2 linked regions of the Mytilus edulis genome follow. The main gene of each other region encodes a partner of the protein of the gene in region 2 in a complex. Links are inferred from orthologs where the notes say so. Each region holds a gene or a part of one and is shown on either strand. Other genes may lie near its edges.

Region 1 (10,146 bases), on a different chromosome or scaffold from region 2:
CATGTCATATAATACATTAAAATGGATTTTTGAGGTAGGTGTTGTTTTTTATCTATTCTATCGCATTATTTGCATATTTACTTATTTCAGCAAGTCAACATGGCGGCTCTTTAGTTACAAAATGTCAACTTTGTATTTGACAGTAGCTGATGAGATAAACATGTAAATTAAAAATGGCAAATGTTGGGTTTGAGAATGAACAGAATTAAGCACATGCAAGCTACTGATTAGAATGTTTCAGCTTTATCCAACCAGGAGTTAAACAGAACAGCCACACACACGGCAAACCCACCCTCACTTCAGTTTTTTTAATGACCATATTTGTCCTATTAGAATCGAAATAATTCATGGAAGCCATAGACTTGTTATAACCTTCTATGCAGCCAAGAAATAACAAAATAATTTGAGAGAGGTTTTAATATAGCTATTATACATACTCTCAACAAATTCAAAATGGTTTCTTGGGTGCACACGTCTTTTCAACTCTAATTATACTTAAAGTTGAAGTAAATTTACAAAAATGGTATGTTTCTTTTATCAACAAATGTAAAATTTGTTGTTATTACATTTTATGTTATTTTTTATACATCTTTTAACTGTAGTATTGTTAGGAAATACTTAAGATCATGGAAAGAACCTTTTAAATCTGTGCCAGTATTTGGACTAAATTGCTTCTACTTCAAAAGATTCTTTGGAAATCATATCTAATGCAAGCTTGGCCTTTATTATCAATATGATAAAAAAAGTAATGTATAGAAACCTAAAGATATGGTGTACTTGTACATGCATCAATAGCACACCAATTGTAATCAGCAAACAGATATGTAATGATGTTGCAGAGTTATCACAAATTGTAGGCAAGTGCTTGTCATACACTTATAAAACCTGAATTTGAAATGAAAACATACCTTGTCTGTTTTTCCTAATTCGTTTTGCTTGCTGTAATTCATTTTTACACTCTGAAATCTTTTCTGTAGCCTCACTTATTTTTTGTTCTGAAAAAAAAAGTGTACAGAGCCCATTTCATGTATTTTCCAGCAGATCACCTAATCTTTTGTGCTAATTAAAAAATTTTTTTTTTAAATGGGAACTAGGGCATGTTTTCTATTCAATTAACATCAATAGAAGAAAGGTCAAGTGAAAACTGTCCGACAGGCAAGTGGACCTTGCAAGGTACGCACATACCAAATGTAGTTACATTGTATCCTATTACTCATAATAAGAGTGAAATGAACATTACAAACAAGAATGTGTCCCCAGTACACGGATGCCCCACTCACACTATCATTTTTTATGTTTAGTGGACCGTGAAATTGGGGTCAGAACTCTAATTTGGCATTAAAATTAGAAAGATCATATCACAAGGAACATGTATACTAAGTTTCAATTTGATTGGACTTCAACTTCATCAAAAACTACCTTGACCAAAAACTTGAACCTGAAGCAGAACAGACAAACGGACGAATGAACAGACAAATGGACGCACAGACCAGAAAACATATTGGGCAAAATAAATGGGGCATAAAAAAAAATATAACATAACAACAATTCTTTATTAAGGTAATAACAAAATGCTAATAGTTACAGAAATCTTATTTTAAGTACTTATTCTTCGGGTATAGAATCATCCCATCTTACACTGTACTATAAGTTGTTGTATGTCTAATAGACAATATCTATATTATATATGCAGCTACAATTGCACTATTATTATTGTTTTCATTTTAGGATTCTGATACAGATTTGTTTTAAATACAAATTGAAAACTTGTGTAACCTTGTCACCATCCCACCATGTTTCTTTACTATTTCTATATCTTACCAATTTCTTTACTTAATTTTTCATAATTTGATTGCTCCTTCAAATTCATCTTGAAAACATTCAAACATTTTCCTGCAGCACAGTCACACAGAGCTAGGTCTTTCATCATTCTCTCATACTGGGCATGACTGAAAAAGGAACATGTATTTCATTAAAAGAAAATAGTTCGGGTATTTGTTATTTGTAAGAACTTGTACAAATTGGGTATTTGTTATTTGTAAGAACTTATACATTTGTAGTTTTGTACATCTCCCCAATCAGCTTTCACATAAAGGTAAAATAAATTTAATAAAAAGATTGGGAGCAACTGTAAAAAAAACCAGTTGCCAACACTTCATCTTTGTAAAAAATCAGAAAACATAATAAACAAGAATGTGTCCATAGTACACGAATGCCCCACTCGCACTATCATTTTCTATGTTCAGTGGACCGTGAAATTGGGGTCAAAACTTTAATTTGGAATTAAAATTAGAAAGATCATATCATGGGGAACAAGTGTACTAAGTTTCAAGTTGATTGGACTTCAACTTCTTCAAAAACTACCTTGACCAAAAACTTTAACCTGAATCGGACGGACGAACGGAGGCATAGACCAGAAAACATAATGCCACTCTACTATCGTAGGTGGGGCATAAAAATATAAATACAATGTATTATTCTTACATTATATATTTTGGTTTTTTTTCAATTTGAAAAAAAAAAACATTTGATATAAATTAAGTCATTCATGATTCATGATCATTCATTACAGAACAGAGTCAAACAGAAGTATCTTTTTATCATGTTTATAAATATAAATTCATATAACACAGGCCACATGTGCTACTAATACTGTTGTATTTTTCCAATCGACCAGTTTGGTAATTTGCTCAAAACTACAATTTGATTTAACATTTTTCTCAGACTGCAAAAGCAGAGATATCTATTAATTACAGCCAAGGTACATTATATTAATTACAAGCATATAACTCATTGTCAGAAATCCATATTGTCATACAAAGTGAATATCATTTGGCAAAAAATGGTGCAAAATTTCATTTTCTGTATACTTCTTCAAAAAAACACCCCAGATTTTTTCTACGTCTTTGTGTTGCTTCAGTATTTTGTAAAATGAATCTTTAATGCAGTATGTATGTCTTGTCATTGATTTTTGGCTATCTTTAGTATCTTAAATCTCTCTTTCTACAAATCTAATACCATAAATAAACAAAAAGGTGTGAGAAAAAGCACTGACTTATGATTATGGTAACTCTGTGTATCATGGCCATTCATGCACATTTATGTTTTCTGCTCATTGGTGTGGTTTTTGTCTCTTTGACACTTTCTTCATTTCCATTCTCAGTTTTAGTATACAGGGGCTGTTCTTACTCACAAACATACTGCATACATGTACCACATTGCCACAAGTTGTGCATGTTACATTGCATGTCATCCTATTGGGGCACAGGGGTAGGTGTTCAAAATCTTGATAAACTGTATTTTCAAGGTGGCATTAACTTGTCATACAATTGTAAATTTGGAAATTTTCAACATGTTGGAAAATTCCTGCTCCATGTTAAAACTATCATGACTATGATATTTATTGATTATTGCATTTACTAAATACAATTTAATAAGTTCTCAAACATATTAGGACATTAGACAAAGCTGTATCAATGAAAATCTAAAAAAAAAAATTAAGCTAGTTTACAAAAACTATAGATTACTTTTCTTCCTTGGTCTCTGATTCACTTGCCCAATGGAAAAATGTTTTCAATAAGCTGGCAATTCTCTTATCGTCACCACCTCCATCACCTTCTATTAATAACCTCCTCCGAAAAATATCATCTATAAAAAATGTTTTTAGTTTAATAATTTACTATTAGCATAATTAGTTTATGGTTTGATTTCTGTATTTGACTAAATAAAATTGAACTGGATTTGAGAATACATGAATACATCTATTTTAATTATTATATTACTCAAGATAATTGATTACACACAGATACATTTGTATATTTAATTAGATAATTGGATTAGTTAAGTAATAAAATAAGTGTCAAAGTGATTGACAAGGGGTGTGTATCATAATAATCCAATCAACTTATAATTCAATTTAATCATTTCAAAACAAGACCGTAACCATATCCCTTGGCCTTTGCTTATGTCATTTTGTGCACATCATTACCATTTAAGTGCAATTTAGTTAAAATTTTTTTAGAGTTACGATATATAAAAGGCATATAAATGAAAGCAAATACAACAAAATATCTTTTAATATATATATAGTTGAAGTACATGATTTATGAAGTATGGTTGAAATGACTATTACTACATAGGCAAATCGACATAGGCCAATCCTGTTCCATTGGCATGGCCTAAACAACTTTTTTTCAGGAAAATTATGCATTTTGAGAAATTGTGTTTCAAAAAATTCCAAATTTTATATAAAAGGTATATATCAGGTTGGGAACAAACGGTGAAACCCTCTATAATCTATATGGTGTTTATACCTTTATAGAGGGATATTTTTGTTAAGATTGGTTTTAAAGCAAAATAGGGTATATTGGCAGTCTCTACTTATTATGACAGTAACCTGCAACAATTGATGTACTTAGTTTAATATGCACATACCCAGTTTACTGCTAAACTGACTGTATATATACAATCTATTGTACAGTGAGATAGGTATAAAATACATGTAAATTTCAAGTTCTGTCGGCAGAAATCTGGGCATCCCAATTTTAGTAAAGTGCAATAACTGATGCATATAATGCTTTATATTATAGCCAATATAACTAGAAAATGCTAATCTGCCCTATTTTGCTTAAAATCCAGTCTTAACAAAAATACAGAAGGATTAACCCTCTATAAAGGTATAAACACCATAGATAGAGGGTTTGTTCCCAAAGCAAATACAACAAATCATCTTTTAATATATAATTGAAGAATGGATGAAACGACTATTATTATATAGCTGAATCAACAAAGGCCGAACCGGCTCCATTGGCTTGGCCGAAACGACTCGTTTCAAATAAAATAACTTAAAAAAATTTGCATTTTGAGAAATTGTGTTTCAGAAAATAAAAAAAGATTCGAAAATGGGCCACATAATCCTTAGTTGAGGGAATTATATTAAATTTGGATCTATGTTCTATCTAGCATTGAACACATTTAAGTCAATCAATCAATCTAATTTCATAAACATTATAAAACATGAAAAGCATGCAGCACGAGAAGACTAACCATCACTCACTGCCATTTTCGTCGCTTGTAGCATCAAATTTGAATAAAATACAAAAAATTTGTGGCACATTTTCGTTTAATTTGTTAATTTCTATATTTCATATTTTAATTTGGAGTTATTTTTCGATCTTCGTAAAAAAATAGGAACTTTTGAATTGTTAAAATCATCATTTAACAAACTATATTTTCGTTGGCGTAAGCGGAAGACCAAGACCAACGACGGAGTTTCCCGATCTTTGACGTCACAAAACATCGGTGATAGTCGGACTGGCAGAAAGCAACAAGAAAAACTGCAAAATGGCGACCCTGGACAGTAGTCCGTCGCATTTTGCGGGTCAACCATGGTCCGAATGGGCCAATACTGTGCCTTCCCCACCATATAGTGGTGAGAATAGAATATCATCGTTTAAATGATTCATGTATTGTCCAAAAGCTATTACAAATTTCTGAATGTTCAAAACTTTTCCATAACCAGTGTCGTTTCTACTTTCAAAATTTCCCTGACAAATGTCAAAATAAATTCTTATATATTTTCAGATTCAGGTGGTGAAAGCTCTGAATCTAAAGCTACAGACGACAGTGATAGTATGAAACTGAATGTTGAAGGTAATAGCATTGGTAACAAAAGATAAGTTGAACTTATTTTATACACATTGATTTGAATGTAGTTTGACATGGAGAATAGCGTATAAATCTTTTACATGAAGTTCAATACCATTTTTTTTTAAAAAGAGAACAATAAACAAAAAATATGACAAATCAAGTTTTAAATGTTCACTCTACATTGGTTACAACCTAGCATAAAAATGATTCATCAAAAATCAGGCTTCAAAAATAAGAGTCAAAATCATTTGTCATTTAAAATGACAAATGGTTTTGACTCTTATTTTTGAAGCCTGTTTATGACCATGTTATCTTATTGTTTCTGAGTAATATATTCACCATTGATATCTATACCTGTTGCTCTTAAGGTTCATCATAACCTTTTGGCTAAAATGGCCGTATTTATACCCCAAATTTTACTCTGAGTACAGACTAACCTATACACCTGCAACAGTTTTAAGGGATGGCAGGAACTAGATATATAAATTTTAAATGCATTTTATGTTTCAGAAAATTATAAACTTTTCTAGATTTTGCTATCCATTTTTTTTCGTTCCTGCAGAAGGTGCAAAAATTAACTAAGTAGTGAAAACGATTGAGAAGCTCCCCTCATATAATCAATGTTGTGAGTAGTATTGATTTAAATGGACAATAGATGGACAATAGACACCTGTAAACAATAGGTGATTTAACAGGTTTAAACTGTGTAACTGAGTGGACCGTATCAAACGAAACTCGGGTGTTTGTTTATTTTGCTATCTTCTGCAGACTGGAAAAAAATGAACATCAAAATCCAGGTAAGTTTATAATTTTCTGAAACGTAGACTTCATATAACTTTTATATATCTAGTTCCTGCCATGCCTTAAAATTTTCCTGGATGTACCAGTTTGTCTGTACTCATAGTAATTTTGGAGGTGTAAACACGGCCATATTTTTCAATTCCTTATGATGAACCTTAAATTCCTTGTAGATGCTGAGCTTACAAGATCTTTCAAAAGCTAAAGCAGAAATTGTGTTATTTTTGGTACTCAAACATCACACACTCCATTAATACTGCATGAACAATGGATCTAGTATACAAAATTAATTTGATAAGAAAAATACAAAACTGAAGTAAATCACTTTTAAATCAATGGAAATGCTTTTTCTTTTTTATTTGTTTCATTATCAGCATAATTTGAGAAAAATCACCTGTTTTATCTAAACTGGTCTCCAATCGAAATTTACAGTACACATCCAAATGCTTCTTAATCTTTCAGATTCAATTGTTTTGTCAATCTTTTTACTTAATTATTATCCTCTAAATATCTCAACAAGTCAGCAGAATTAAGTTTTTGTAGTCGACTTACAATTCAAAGCTCTTATTTCCTGATATAAAATTTGGTAAGACATAAGAATGTATTAGGGTTGGATGTCTAAAATATAGTTGGAGGAAGAAACAGATATTTTTTTTTTATATCTTGTCTTGTGGATCATTTATTGAAAATTAATTACCAATTGAAACTAAATTTTAATTTTTTTTTGTTATTGTACAAAGTTATGAAGAAATTTGTATAATTTATTTTTTTGACACGTCACAGAGTGCATTGTTTGGTCAATGGAATATCTTATCCTCTTCTTTCTTACAGATAGTGCATTGTTTGGTCAATGGAGTGTAAACTACAAGAAATTTTTTATCTGTCCAGTGCATTGTATAAAGTTATTAAGTAATATAGTTTTGTTTTCTTTCTAACAGATAGTGCATTGTTTGGTCAATGGAGTGTGTAAACTACAAGACAATTTTTATCTGTCCAGTGCATTGTATAAAGTTATAAAGTAATATAGTTTTTCTTCTTTCTTACAGATAGTGCATTGTTTGGTTAATGGAGTGTGTAAACTACAAGACAATTTTTATCCGTCCAGTACATTGTATTTAAGAATTGAATGCTTCTTTTTGTAAATTTATTGGGGTGTAAAAGCGTTGACCGAAGTACATTTTGTATGAAGCGCAGAAGCGCTTCATTCTAAAAATGTACGCACGGTCAACGCTTTTACAACCCTATAATGTTACAAAAAGAAGCATTCAATACTTATAATTACATTTTTTAGCTATGATCATGAAAACACAAATTTTATATATTTTATTATTTAATTCACCTGTGCACTTTATTGTTGGAGCACGTGTTATCATGAGTGAAAAGATGTATTGAGCAATGCAACTGCTTACGGAATAACACGTGATGTGCAGTTAGCCAATCAGAATAAAATATTATAATGAAACATACATCTAATGTAATTATAAAGTTATAAAGTAATATAGTTTTGTTTTCTTTCTAACAGATAGTGCATTGTTTGGAGTGTGTCCTTCTCAAGATGAGTTTTTTCTTGTCCAGTGCGAGAAGTGTAATAAAGTATTAAAGCCACAAGCGCTTAACATACATCTACGTAAGTAAAGATCACCATCATATCAATTGGTTATTAAAAGTTGATTGACTGGTTAACCTTTGAGCCTTTCAAGACCACCATCACAATACATGTCATTTAGATGATTCCAAGCATCAAGCAAAATAACCAATAAATCAGTAATGAATCTTTACGATTTTCAATTTAGAGAGTTCAAGCATGAAACTTGACATGCTTATTCACCTTAACCAGAGCATGTAGAGTACAATAAAAAAAAATACATTAAACATCATGGTCAAAATCTTCTTTCAACTTACATGTATGTACGAAATGCATAAAAATTTTAAAGAAAAATCTGCAGATCGGTTTTGTCTTGCCTGATATAAAATTCACAGTATGCAAGCTATAGAAATGATTACTTTGTAACAACTCTGAAACTATCTTACAAAGCTATATATATAAAGAGGTAGCAGACCTGAAACTTTCTTAAATGTATACAATTGTTTCAAATGTTCTGTATGTCATATGTCCATTGCCCTTGACCTTATTTTTTTATGTCCCATTTATAAGCATTATGTTTTTATACTACCGCAAAAATTGAAAAAAATTTCGTCGTATATTGGCATCATGTTGGCGTCTTCTTCGTCCGAAGACATTTGGTTTTCGCACTATAACTTTAGTATAAGTAAATAGAAATCTATGAAATTTAAACACAAGGTTTATGACCATGAAAGGAAGGTTGGGATTGATTTTGGGAGTTTTGGTCCCAACAGTTTAGGAATTGGGGGCCAAAAGGGGCCCAAATAAGCATTTTCTTGGTTTTCGCACTATAACTTTAGTTCAAGTAAATAGAAATGTATGAAATTTTGACACGAGGTTTATGACCTCAAAAGGAAGGTTGGGATTGATTTTGGGAGTTTTGGTCCCATCAGTTTAGGAATTAGGGGCCAAAAAGGGGCCAAAAAAAGCATTATTCTTGGTTTTCGCACTATAACTTAAGTATAAGTAAATAGAAATCAATAAAATTTAAACGCAAGGTTTATGAACACAAAAGAAAGGTTGGGATTGATTTTGGGAGTTGAGGTCCCAACAGTTTAGGAAAAAGGGGCCCAAATAAGCATTTTTCTTGGTTTTCGCACCATAACTTTAGTATAAGTAAATAGAAATCAATGAAATTTAAACACAAGGTTAATGACCATAAAAGGAAGGTAGGCATTTTTTTTAGAGTTTTGGTCCCAACACTTTAGGAATAATGGGCCCAAAGGATCCAAAATTAAACTTTGTTTGATTTCATTAAAAATTGAATAATTGGGGTTCTTTGATATGCCGAATCTAACTGTGTATGTAGATTCTTAATTTTTGGTCCCGTTTTCAAATTGGTCTACATTAAGGTCCTAAGGGTCCAAAATTAAACTAAGTTTGATTTTAACAAAAATTGAATCCTTGGGGTTCTTTGATATGCTGAATCTAAACATGTACTAAGATTTTTGATTATTGGCCCAGTTTTCAAGTTGGTCCAAATCGGGGTCCAAAATTAAACTTTGTTTGATTTCAACAAAAATTTAATTTAGGGGTTCTTTGATATGCTGAATCTAAGCATGTACTTTGATGTTTGATTTTAGGCCCAGTTTTCAATATGATGCCAATGAACATAAATTATGAAAATAATGTCAGAAAATACTTTGGCTCATTACAGATAATACCTTGCAACCCTAGGTTTGACTGAATTTTTCAACAGAAACAAGTTTAAGGATGCAATTAAGAATACAAAATTTAGTATTTACATGTAAACTAGACATTAAAAAGTGTCCATATTGAAAATCAAGAATTGTTGTTCATTCCTATAAACTTTGATATTGAAAGCCAGAGGATTTAAATTTTTAATGCCCCCGCCTTAAGTTTTACCCTTGTCTGTCTGTATGTCCGTACGAACATTCCAAAATGGGTTTTCATTTTCTAACTTTAGTTCGCCTAAACCAAATGTTATGAAACTTATACACAATGCTTATTACCACAAAACACAGGTCAAGTTTGAAATTTGGTGGCGTCACTTTGACCTTTCTAAATTATGTCCTTTTACAAATGGAAAATTGCTGCATTTTTTCGTTTCCGTT
Region 2 (10,545 bases):
CTTTGAAATATATAAAATGTATATAAAACATAATACCAACTGTAAATGTATATGCAATGTTTCTTTTGCCTCAAATCACTTTTTGAAGTTATTGGGAACACATCAAACAAAGACACATACACGTATATTGATAAGGCTGCTTGCAAAATTAAAACACATATAAAACATAAATCCCAACAATCATTAAATAATAAACACAAACAGGACCATGAATATAATTTATGTCATACTTCATAGGTTAGCTTTCTGTGATCCATTGCTTGTTTTTTAATGTACATTTTGTATTATGATACTCACAATTATTGGATAGAAATAGACAATCGCATCTTTCAAATCATCTTCTTCTTTTTTAAGTTTGTTGTGATCATAAATGAAGAATTTTCCCATGCCATTTTTCCTGCAAACAGATAAATGTATATGTAAAAAATAGCAGAACTGAATGAGAATATATATGAAACTTAAACATGGCAGAAAATCAGAAATTCAGAAGAGACACATTCAAATCTAGAAGCTGATTTAAAAAAGGAATAGTTTGACAACATTAACTACCATGTTAACCTTAATCTAAACAACAGACAATCCCAAAAAACACTGAATATAAGGAGATGTAGTATGAGTGCCAATGAGACATGCTTCTCTATCCAATTAGTCACAATTTGTAAGAGTAATTACACTGACTAGGTCAAAGTACTACCTTCAATATGGATCCTAATGGTCTCACAATATATTTATATATATATATATATATATTAAAAAGGGAGATGTATGATTTTCAAAGATCAGAGCTCCAGATAAGAATTCACAAATTGGGTTTTTTACCCACCATTTTCTTATATAATTGAGTGATAAAGTTTTTTGATTGCATTATCAATTCCAATTCACCCCTCATGTTAATATCAAATTGGGTTTTTCACCACCAAGCTCCTTATTGTACTGGGTTTTTTCATCAACACAATATTGAATATTTAGGCAATATCAACCCCAGATTTTTTTCCATCTTAAATATGTTTCTTTCTTTGTTTAGCTGTTTTATTTGGTTTATGGTTAGGGTTATTTGCTAGCTGTTTTATTTGGTTTATTCACTGAGGAGCAATTGTAGGTTTAATTTTTGTTCCATTTCAAACCTTCTGCAAGTTTTGTATTTTCTCATATATACTGTATAAAACGGATATGTGTATTCACAGGCACTCATCTTATACCTTTATATAATAAATTCTGAGACCAGTGTAAAATGAAACAAAAAATAGTTTATATTATAAACTCTAATTATACTTGAATGTTTTTGTTTTATTTCAAATTTCATAAATCTGGGTTTAGTTGTCTTTTATTAGAACTTTTGGTTTCTGATGCTTTATCATGTCATAATTGATTTGGCCTCAAGTGTTTGGCCTTTCACTTTTTCCAACTGATTTCTTTTTGAGGAAACCCTGTATTTATTAGCAATGTTCTCGTTAAGGTACGCACACACGCCCGTGTGTTCTACGGCTTCCTAAAAACACTGGCTGAGTCTTGTTATCATCATAACTTTTCCTCAGCTTTTCAAAAGAAGCAGAAAACATGCTTCTATTCAATATTTTAACCGAACATTCACTTTTGTTTTAATTCAATGTATGTTATGATAAATCCCGAGCAATGCGAAAAAAATATGACTACATGACACACACTAATTGGATAGACGTCGAGAAGATCGATATGTTTTCAAAAACACGTGTACCTATTGAGCAACGGCAAACTCTAAAAGGGACCTATTTCAGCTACTTGATGCAGGGATCTATTTTTAGAACGAAAGGAAATTTCCAATTATAAATATTATAAAAAATAAAAATAGTTTACGCTACGACTGTAAACAGATAAGGGTAAACAACGCAAATGGTAGCCAATAAAAGGGTGGAAAACTCATGGTTTTGGAATATAATTGGGTTTTCCTTTGAATTAATTGGGTTATTGAACCCTGCAATGGGCAATTGCATTGGGTTTTTTATTATTTGTATTGCATGATCACGCAAATACGCAGCTTATCTGGAGCTCTGAAGATACAACAAATCGAACAAACCAATGAGTTCAAATGAAGTAAATGTATACATTTATAAGCAACCATACAGCTTTCAACAATGCGAACAACCCATACTAAATGTATCATCCTATATTGTCACTTTGATTCTTGTATATCAGTCATTTCAAAATAAAGTACAAATTCGGAATCTGAACTTTTCCAAAAAAAAAGTTAAAATAAATGCAAATTAATTTAAAAAACCAATAGCATATTGATTTGTTAATATTTTTTCAAAATATGCAATCTTACCAACACCTGAGAAAATTTTATTTTAAAATTGTGTGCAGGCTTGTGTCAGATTTTGTCCATCCTGTTACTATTTTTAACTGATAGCAAAAGTGATAATAGAAAAGAAAATATCCAATGAAAAGTGTGGCTCACATTTGCATAGCAGTGTTCATTTGAAATCACATTTACATTTATCATTTATGTAGATTACCCAAAAAAAATCTGCAGATAGTCGGTACGTTCAGGAAAATCATCACATTTCTTATTTTTCAAACACTCTTAAAAAAATATTGTGGAGACAGTGGCATTGAAAATTTACTAGTATGTCCCTTTTCAATTATACTAACTGGAAACTTAGTCAATAGATCAGTTATGTTGATTGTAAAAATTATTTTACACATTTTTTGGGGTAACAGGAACGAACAAAGACAGTAACAGGGAGGACAAAGTGGTAACAGTAGAGACAAAACATAATTTGGGTCACGAAAATCAATAACAAAAAACTGGATTTTGAATTTCATAGGGATACGAACGGGAGATATAAGTAAATAAACATTATACACGAACCATTTATACGTGTATCAACCCTGTCTGGGTCAAACAAACAAAACAAAACAAAAACAAATGAAAAATTGTTATTGGTGTTTTTTGTTTTTTTCGTTAAGTATGAAGTAAGATTTTGTTGCCGCAAGTCGTAAAAATCAGTACATAAGATGACATGCCTTTCTGTGAACTACCGCTTTTAAGACCAAGTTCAGCATGTTGGTTCTTATTTATTTATCATATTCTCTTCCTGAATATGCCTTTAAGTGTCCACTGGAGGCTAACCAATCAGCAGAACAACCACCCATCGTTCCGTCTTAGAGAAGGTTGAAGATAGGCGTAAAGAGCAAAACTAATTTCATATGTTTAAAAACATAAGGACAATTTAAAGAACACAACAATACAACTGAACGAAAATTCAAATTATTTTTTTTCTTATTGTCAATGATTCTGATATACATGTATCTAGTTTCTGACACATTTTAACACTGAAGGCTTGTCATTCTTGGATTTCTGGATCATCTCGATAAGTTCACGAAGAGGTTCTGATTTTATTTGGATTCGGAATGATAGCCAACATTCTGGAAGTTGTAGCAGCGTCTCTCAATGATTTTGACAAAGAAAAGCACGGAGGCGTCCAAAAAAAAGGGGGGGGGGTATGTCATTATAAAAATTAATAATACACACAGATTTGCCGCTGGTGTGCTTATTTGTATTTGGAATGGCAAATATATCAATGACCTGCAACTTTAAGAAGGCAATAAATCAATGGGTAGAAATTCTTATATCAATTAATGGGTCGACCCATACGTACATGATGTGCACCTACTGTAGACTAAAATTGGTGTTCTAATATTTGTATCTCCTAATATCATCTCATTTAAGTAAGAGAAGGGATTTGCACATAGTTATTTTATGAATAGGGCAGGGGAGTTCAAACCACAATCGGAGGTATAATATACCCACATTTATATGTTGTGCACCCCCCCCTTTTTTTTTGGAATAAAAGACATTCTTTTGTGTCATGAGTGTTGCTGTCGTCTCGCAAGGTCTGTATCTCTATTTGCCTGTAACGAGAAAGTATCATGTCTCTAAGAAACCAGTACAAAAGTTGGCAAAACATTGCACAATTAATAATGTAGTCCATCCTGTTACCAGTCAAGGTAGCACTTGACTTGTTCTAGAAATACCTCAATACAAATGTACATTTTATGAATTAATATACCGTACGGTAATAAATATGCGTAACAATTTATTTGCGATAATGTAAGAGGCATTTTGAGTTTTCTTACACAAAGTATGTCTATCCTGTTACCATTTTTGTCCCTCCTGTTACCAATGTCTTTGTAACAGGAAGGACAGTAACAGGATGGAAAAAATAGTACATAACTTAAATTGGTTTTATAATAGTCGCTCCCTAATAATTGATGTAGTGTTTTTATACTTCCGGCCCATGCCTAAGTTACGGTAACAACCGTTTCATTAGTCTTATGCAATTAAAAATTATCTATCAACTGGTAACATTAAAGACATTATAAAAAGGTACGCATACATCAATACCTACCGATCTTTTGATTCTGATGACCAAAATCTTTCCACATAAAAAATTTCACCATGTCGTTATGTCCTGTATCCACGCCTACGACGTCACCATAAAAAACCGCCGTTATTTGAGGGAGAAACTAGTTTTATTCCGTAAACAAATAAATAGTAACAGGAAGGACACATATTGATGAACAGACATTCCAGTGACTGTGGAATAAAAGTTGTCATGATTTGAAACATGGAAAGTTATTTATTTTTAATTATGATGTTACTAAATGAAGAAAAATCATTCTGTTTACCTTTAAATGCAGTTTTATGTACAGATAATTTGAATGCAAATGTTATTTATCAAAAATGAACGCATGGAAATTGGCGAATTTTCATACTTAAACGAATATAAAAAAAAATATGAAACTTTTTGCACACTAATATTTGCATGTACTATCTTGCACAATATGTAAACTCTTATGTTAAATTGAAAAAATATGTCAAACTTACAAATAAAACAGACAATAGACATTAACCGAAAAATGTACATTTTTTTGAAATGACTGATATCATGTATATGGTGAACTTAAATGTGTACTTTAAAAAAATCTTATCTTTATTTTTGGAGTTGGTAAAACTTCATCAGAGAATTAATATTAAACTATTTATCTATATTTTCATACATCAATCAATGTCACAGTGGCGGATCCAGAACTTTTCATAAAAGGGGGGCAGCTGACTGACCTAAGGCGGGCCTGCTCCAGTCATGCTTCAGTGATTCCTTATATAATCAACCAAATTTTTCCACGAAAAGGGTGGCCCGGGCCCCTTCCCCCTGGATCTGCCTATGAATGACAATATTATATATATTAAAATATCAACTTTTTCTCTGAACATGATCTCTAAAGGACAGGCCATATAGTAGCCTTAAATCTTAGGATTCAGGATTCAATATTACAAATAACTTCTTGTATATAAATGTTCATATGAACATGCTGTTTTATGATGATATTATTGCTTATTCATATCTGAAAACTTCTGTCAAATTATTACGTTCTTTACCCAACAACGGCCATTTTCTAGTCATATGACTTTCACTTTGTATACAAATTTTTATCACGTGATTTTATTCTATTTTGAGAGAAAGTATAATATAATACATATTACTACAATAAGAATTAACTTTACAGTTGATGTCTGTTTCTTTATGTTAAAGAACATGATTTTAATCATTCTAACTCCCGGGATAATATAATTTATTGGTTTTTTTTTTTATTTAATTCCGGATTTTTACCCGATTTCGATTTTTTGTTAGTCACCGGAACTGCGGGAAAACCAAGAATCCGGGTCCGTTCGCCCTGATTCTCGTTCGCCCTGGTATCTGTTCGCCCTGATTCCTGTTCGCCCTGATTCCTGTTCGCCCAGGGTCCATTCGCCCAGGGTCCATTCGCCCTGATTTTTCATTTGTTCTAATTGTTCTAGTTTCCTAATTTTAAGAGTATAATACTAAATGAACTTGTAAACAAACATGTTTCATGATTTACAGTTCGTACATCATTGTTTTTATTAATTTCAAGCTGAATATTTTATCAAAAGTTTTAAACAAAACGTTTGATTTTTATTAATAATCCATCAAAAGACAAGTATCAAAATAATCAGCGATGCGAATTATTTTGTCATTGAACAATTGTAATGATCCTAAACAAGCCATAAACTTTAACATATTTCGCGGTTTCCATAAATTTCAAGAATATATACCATAGAAATATCTGAATAAGTTTATTCAACTTCAATGCCCTCAATATTAATATTTTTTTAGTAGGGCGAACGGACTATATGGGCGAACGAACTCAGGGCGAACATACCCAGGGCGAACATGTTATTAGGGCGAACGGTCCCGATACCGAAAACCAAACGAAAACAAATCAACGTGCAAACTGCCAAAAGTTTACATATTACCAGTTCACTGGCGAATACAAATAGATTCAAAATTGAAAATGGTATAAGTTTCGTATGAAAACTTGAACTTATTTCTAAGCTCTGTTTAAGGGCTAAAAAGATGGGCTTGATATTGAAGTGTTATTTGCCATTTTGGCCGGTCTCGCTGAGCTCTACGGTTACCCCAGGGGTTAATACAAGCTATACTTAGTGTTAGAGTGCCCTTACCTCTCTTCTAGGTGTCAGTCCCAGCTAACCTTGTCAGGTCCCAAATTTCAGGCGCATTGCCTTGCTCGCTTCGCGTAAGAGAGGGATGCACTTGAAGTAGAGGCTGGAAGTACCTATAGTCGCCGTCAGCTGAAATTCGTAGCGGTTATCGGTAAAAATAATCTAAACTATCAATCGCGTTTCACTCGAGATATAGTTTTTCACATTCCATTCATAAATCGCAAAAAGAAAAACCACTACTGACCTACCTTTTAAGTGATCGCACTGTAACAATCCTGACCTTCACTTTTTCATAGACGATTTTGAATGGTGGAATCAGCCATTGTTTTTACCGGAAGTGTTTCCGTGGAGTTCAATTTCATAAAATTTGCATAAAGCGCGGGAAACCTTATCGCATCAATGAAAGGAACATTTCAGGAAACTGCGTACTGTGACGAATGTCATATGTAAACAAATGATCCTCATAGAAACGAAGATGGCGGAATTACAATGGAAAATATTCCCGAAAATGTGAAGGTCAGGATTATTACAGTGTGATCACTTAAAAGGTAGGTCAGTAGTGGTTTTTCTTTTTGCGATTTATGAATGGAATGTGAAAAACTATATCTCGAGTGTACGCGATTGATAGTTTATATTATTTTTACCGATAACCGCTACGAATTTCAGCTGACGGCGACTATAGTCCAAATAATTATGACGTCTTGAAAGGCTATTATAATTTTTTTCTTTGACGCCTTACTTCAACGTCGAAGTAAGGCGTCAAAGAAAAAAATTATAATAGCCTTTTATCATCGGTATAAAGACATCATTCGTAAATATAGCTCAACATGCAGACTTCTAATACGTTCAGGTATTTCACATCCAATTTTTTATGTAAATATTCTTTATAAAGCACAAAGGTGTCAGTATTCACCTCAGAAACTTACAAAACCTTTGAATAGACTTATTAATAAGGGATATAATTACGATCCTGTTGTCAAGTCATTAAAGATTGCATATTTTGGCGTTAATATTGAGTCACTGATAAGGTCTTTGCATCGGAACTAAACACATTTATTCTAAAAACAGTTGTTGGCATGACACGGGTTATGTTCTTCTCATATATGTTATGATGGTATGATACTAAACCCCTAACGGGAAGGATTGTGCCTGATGTTCATATGATGAAATCATAATCTTTCAGTCAGTTTATTTGAAGTCTGGAGCTGGCATGTCAGTTAACTGCTAGTAGTCTGTTGTTATTTATGTATTATTGTCATTTTGTTTATTTTCTTTGGTTACATCTTCTGACATCAGACTCGGACTTCTCTTGAACTGAATTTTAATGTGCGTATTGTTATGCGTTTACTTTTCTACATTGGTTAGAGGTATAGGGGGAGGGTTGAGATCTCACAAACATGTTTAACCCCGCCGCATTTTTGTGCCTGTCCCAAGTCAGGAGCCTCTGGCCTTTGTTAGTCTTGTATTATTTTAATTTTAGATTCTTGTGTACAATTTGGAAATTAGTGTGGCGTTCATTATCACTGGACTAGTATATATTTATTTAGGGGCCAGCTGAAGGACGCCTCCGGGTGCGGGAATTTCTTGCTACATTGAAGACCTGTTGGTGACCTTCTGCTGTTGTTTTTTATTTGGTCGGGTTGTTGTTTCTTTGACACATTCCCCATTTCCATTCTCAATTTTATTTTAAGACGTCATAATTATTTAGACTAGGAAGTACCCAACTGTTACCCTTGCGTCATGTGTCCCTTTCAGATCCCTCGGTGATGTACCAGTACCCTTGTTACATGTTGGGGAAACCCCCTAGAACTACGGGCCAATTACACTACTGTATATTTTTTTTATTTTTATCAAAGAAATCTAACAAAAACATTTCATATACAATAATACAAATGATTGATTGATTTTACTCTGATCTCCAACGGCTGTTTTGCCTTACCTGCTATTCCCATATCAGTAATTAGATATTTTCCCATCCAATATAGATGAGCTGCTTGGATGCTTCTGAAGTTCTGTCGCCGACAGACTGCCTTTGGTCCATATAAATCAGATCTCAATTTGATAATTTTTCATTTATCTTTTCATTTATATTAGTTTCATCTTCCTGCCACCCTTTATTTTCTCATATTTGGACAGTTTTCACAGTGACCCAACGATTCCAGGATTATCATTATCACACACTATCATTTTCTATGTGCAAAGAAACGTAAAATTGGGGTCAAAACTTTAATTTGGCAAACAAATTAAAAAGATCATATCATAGGGAATGTATACATCCTAAGTTTCAAGTTGACAAAATTTTCCTTGACCAAAAACTTTAACTTGAAGGTTGAAGGATAGGCAGACTTACTTAAATAAGTGATTTTCTAAATCACTGATTCAAGTAACATTATTTCCATAAAGGTTGGAAGTTAGAGTTGTCTTTCTTTAATAATCACCTATTTAAGAAGTAAAAATTAATCACTAGAAGAAGTGATATAATTTTATTGTAGCTTTAAATATAGAATACTAATGATCCAGGGACTAATTATGTTTCTAAACTTATCAGAACCAACATCTGTGTTGTCTAGGATGACTAGGTCATTTCAGGTGATGACCTTGTACTGAATCTAGGATAATGACATAAAAATCACTTGTTTAAGTATCAGACCTCAATTTCCTTCCCAAAAATCACTTCTTTAAGTATCATTCTTTTAATAACCCCCATTAATTTCAACACCCCCGAACAGTGAAATTTTTATCACGAACAGTAGAATTTTATTACATAATCTGAAAGATGAAACCTTGAACTTCACAGGAAAAATACTCCCACTGCTGGGAAAAATCTTTGAAGAAAGTATCAGTTCATAATGTAAAGCCATTATTATAGCATTTTTTCAACTAAAATAGAATTTTCAGCTAAATTTTAGCATCGAAGGCATAAACCTTGCTACTTAAAAGAAGCAAAAAGTTCATTTTTTTTTAATTTTACTAATTAAAAGATATTATTTAAACCTATGTGTTTAAAATTTTGAAAAAACTACAAAATTCCAATTTGTGACAAAACCTCGAATTTGCTACTCATTTCAGTAAGTCCCTTGACTTGATAATGCCCCTAAGTAGGGCATAAAAAGTAACTACAACATGTATTCAATACTATAAGATTATGTGAAGTCAGTGATTTAAAGGAAAAATATGCATTGATCTTTGTCAGTCATTTGCAACCTTAAAGTACCATACAACCATTAGTAGAAATGGACTTGGAGGCTCAAAGACTTACACATTTTTACATAACAAAATAAGTACACTGATATTCCTTACTTTTAGGTAGGCAATTTTATCTACCCCAAGTATAGATTGCCATAGCTGTATTTGACTAAACTTTTCACAATTATTGGTTTTTAAAGCTCTAAAACTTTGTATTTTACTTTAAAAATAACTTTACTCTCCAATTGTTTTTATGGAGCGTTGCTGGTGATCATAAATCTCATCATCTGCCGTACAATTTTATAAGCCTTGTTTGTTTAGGTTTGATGATTTTTTATTAACAATCAACAATGCTTTTGTCTTTGCAGGACAGAGATTTAGCAGCACGTAGACAACTACACACGACAATATTTGATCATTGTTACTCGCCATGTGGAAAGTACATTGCAGCTGCTAATAACTACGGACAGATTGCTGTTTTCAGGTGTAGTAACAGTTATTTTTAATTAAGTGTAGACTACATGGTTTAAAAAAGGAATGTTGTTCCAGGGTTCTCATTCATAAAGCTTTTTTCATTACTTCTAGTACAAAATTTGTGCTTTAAACATATGATTCATTATTTTGATTGGTAGAAGCCTGAGTATGATAATTACTCAAAACTTTTATGACCACATGGACAGATCTAATGTCATGAGTGTATCATATTCATTATGATTATAGCTTTATTAGAACAGCATCCTTACAAACATGACAAAACTTGATTTTAAAACAGTTTTCAAGGAAATTGTAAAAAGGTTCAACCATGAGACTTGATTTTAACTTCTTTGATATTTTTA

What was found.
Region 1: THO complex subunit 6 homolog (region 2) and THO complex subunit 7 homolog share a complex: the UniProt entries of both Drosophila melanogaster proteins name them as parts of the THO complex. The link is inferred for Mytilus edulis from reciprocal best matches to the Drosophila melanogaster genes thoc6 and thoc7.

Annotation. Positions count from the first base shown.
Region 1 is NC_092344.1:46,249,661-46,259,806, reverse strand, and holds the start of THO complex subunit 7 homolog, read right to left. Parts: upstream 4,226-10,146; 5' UTR 4,211-4,225; coding exon 4,099-4,210; intron 3,649-4,098; coding exon 3,528-3,648; intron 1,950-3,527; coding exon 1,822-1,949; intron 996-1,821; coding exon 909-995; intron 1-908. Other genes in the region: serine-rich adhesin for platelets-like, read left to right, coding at 5,344-5,431, 5,584-5,652, 7,970-8,074. UniProt on the Drosophila melanogaster protein: The THO complex is required for cell proliferation and for proper export of heat-shock mRNAs under heat stress.
Region 2 is NC_092349.1:58,724,824-58,735,368, forward strand, and holds the start of THO complex subunit 6 homolog, read left to right. Parts: upstream 1-6,268; 5' UTR 6,269-6,354; coding exon 6,355-6,357; intron 6,358-6,523; exon of another isoform or gene 6,524-6,652; intron 6,653-6,767; exon of another isoform or gene 6,768-6,862; intron 6,863-10,077; coding exon 10,078-10,193; intron 10,194-10,545. Other genes in the region: serine-rich adhesin for platelets-like, read right to left, coding at 298-397, 5,420-5,433. UniProt on the Drosophila melanogaster protein: The THO complex is required for cell proliferation and for proper export of heat-shock mRNAs under heat stress.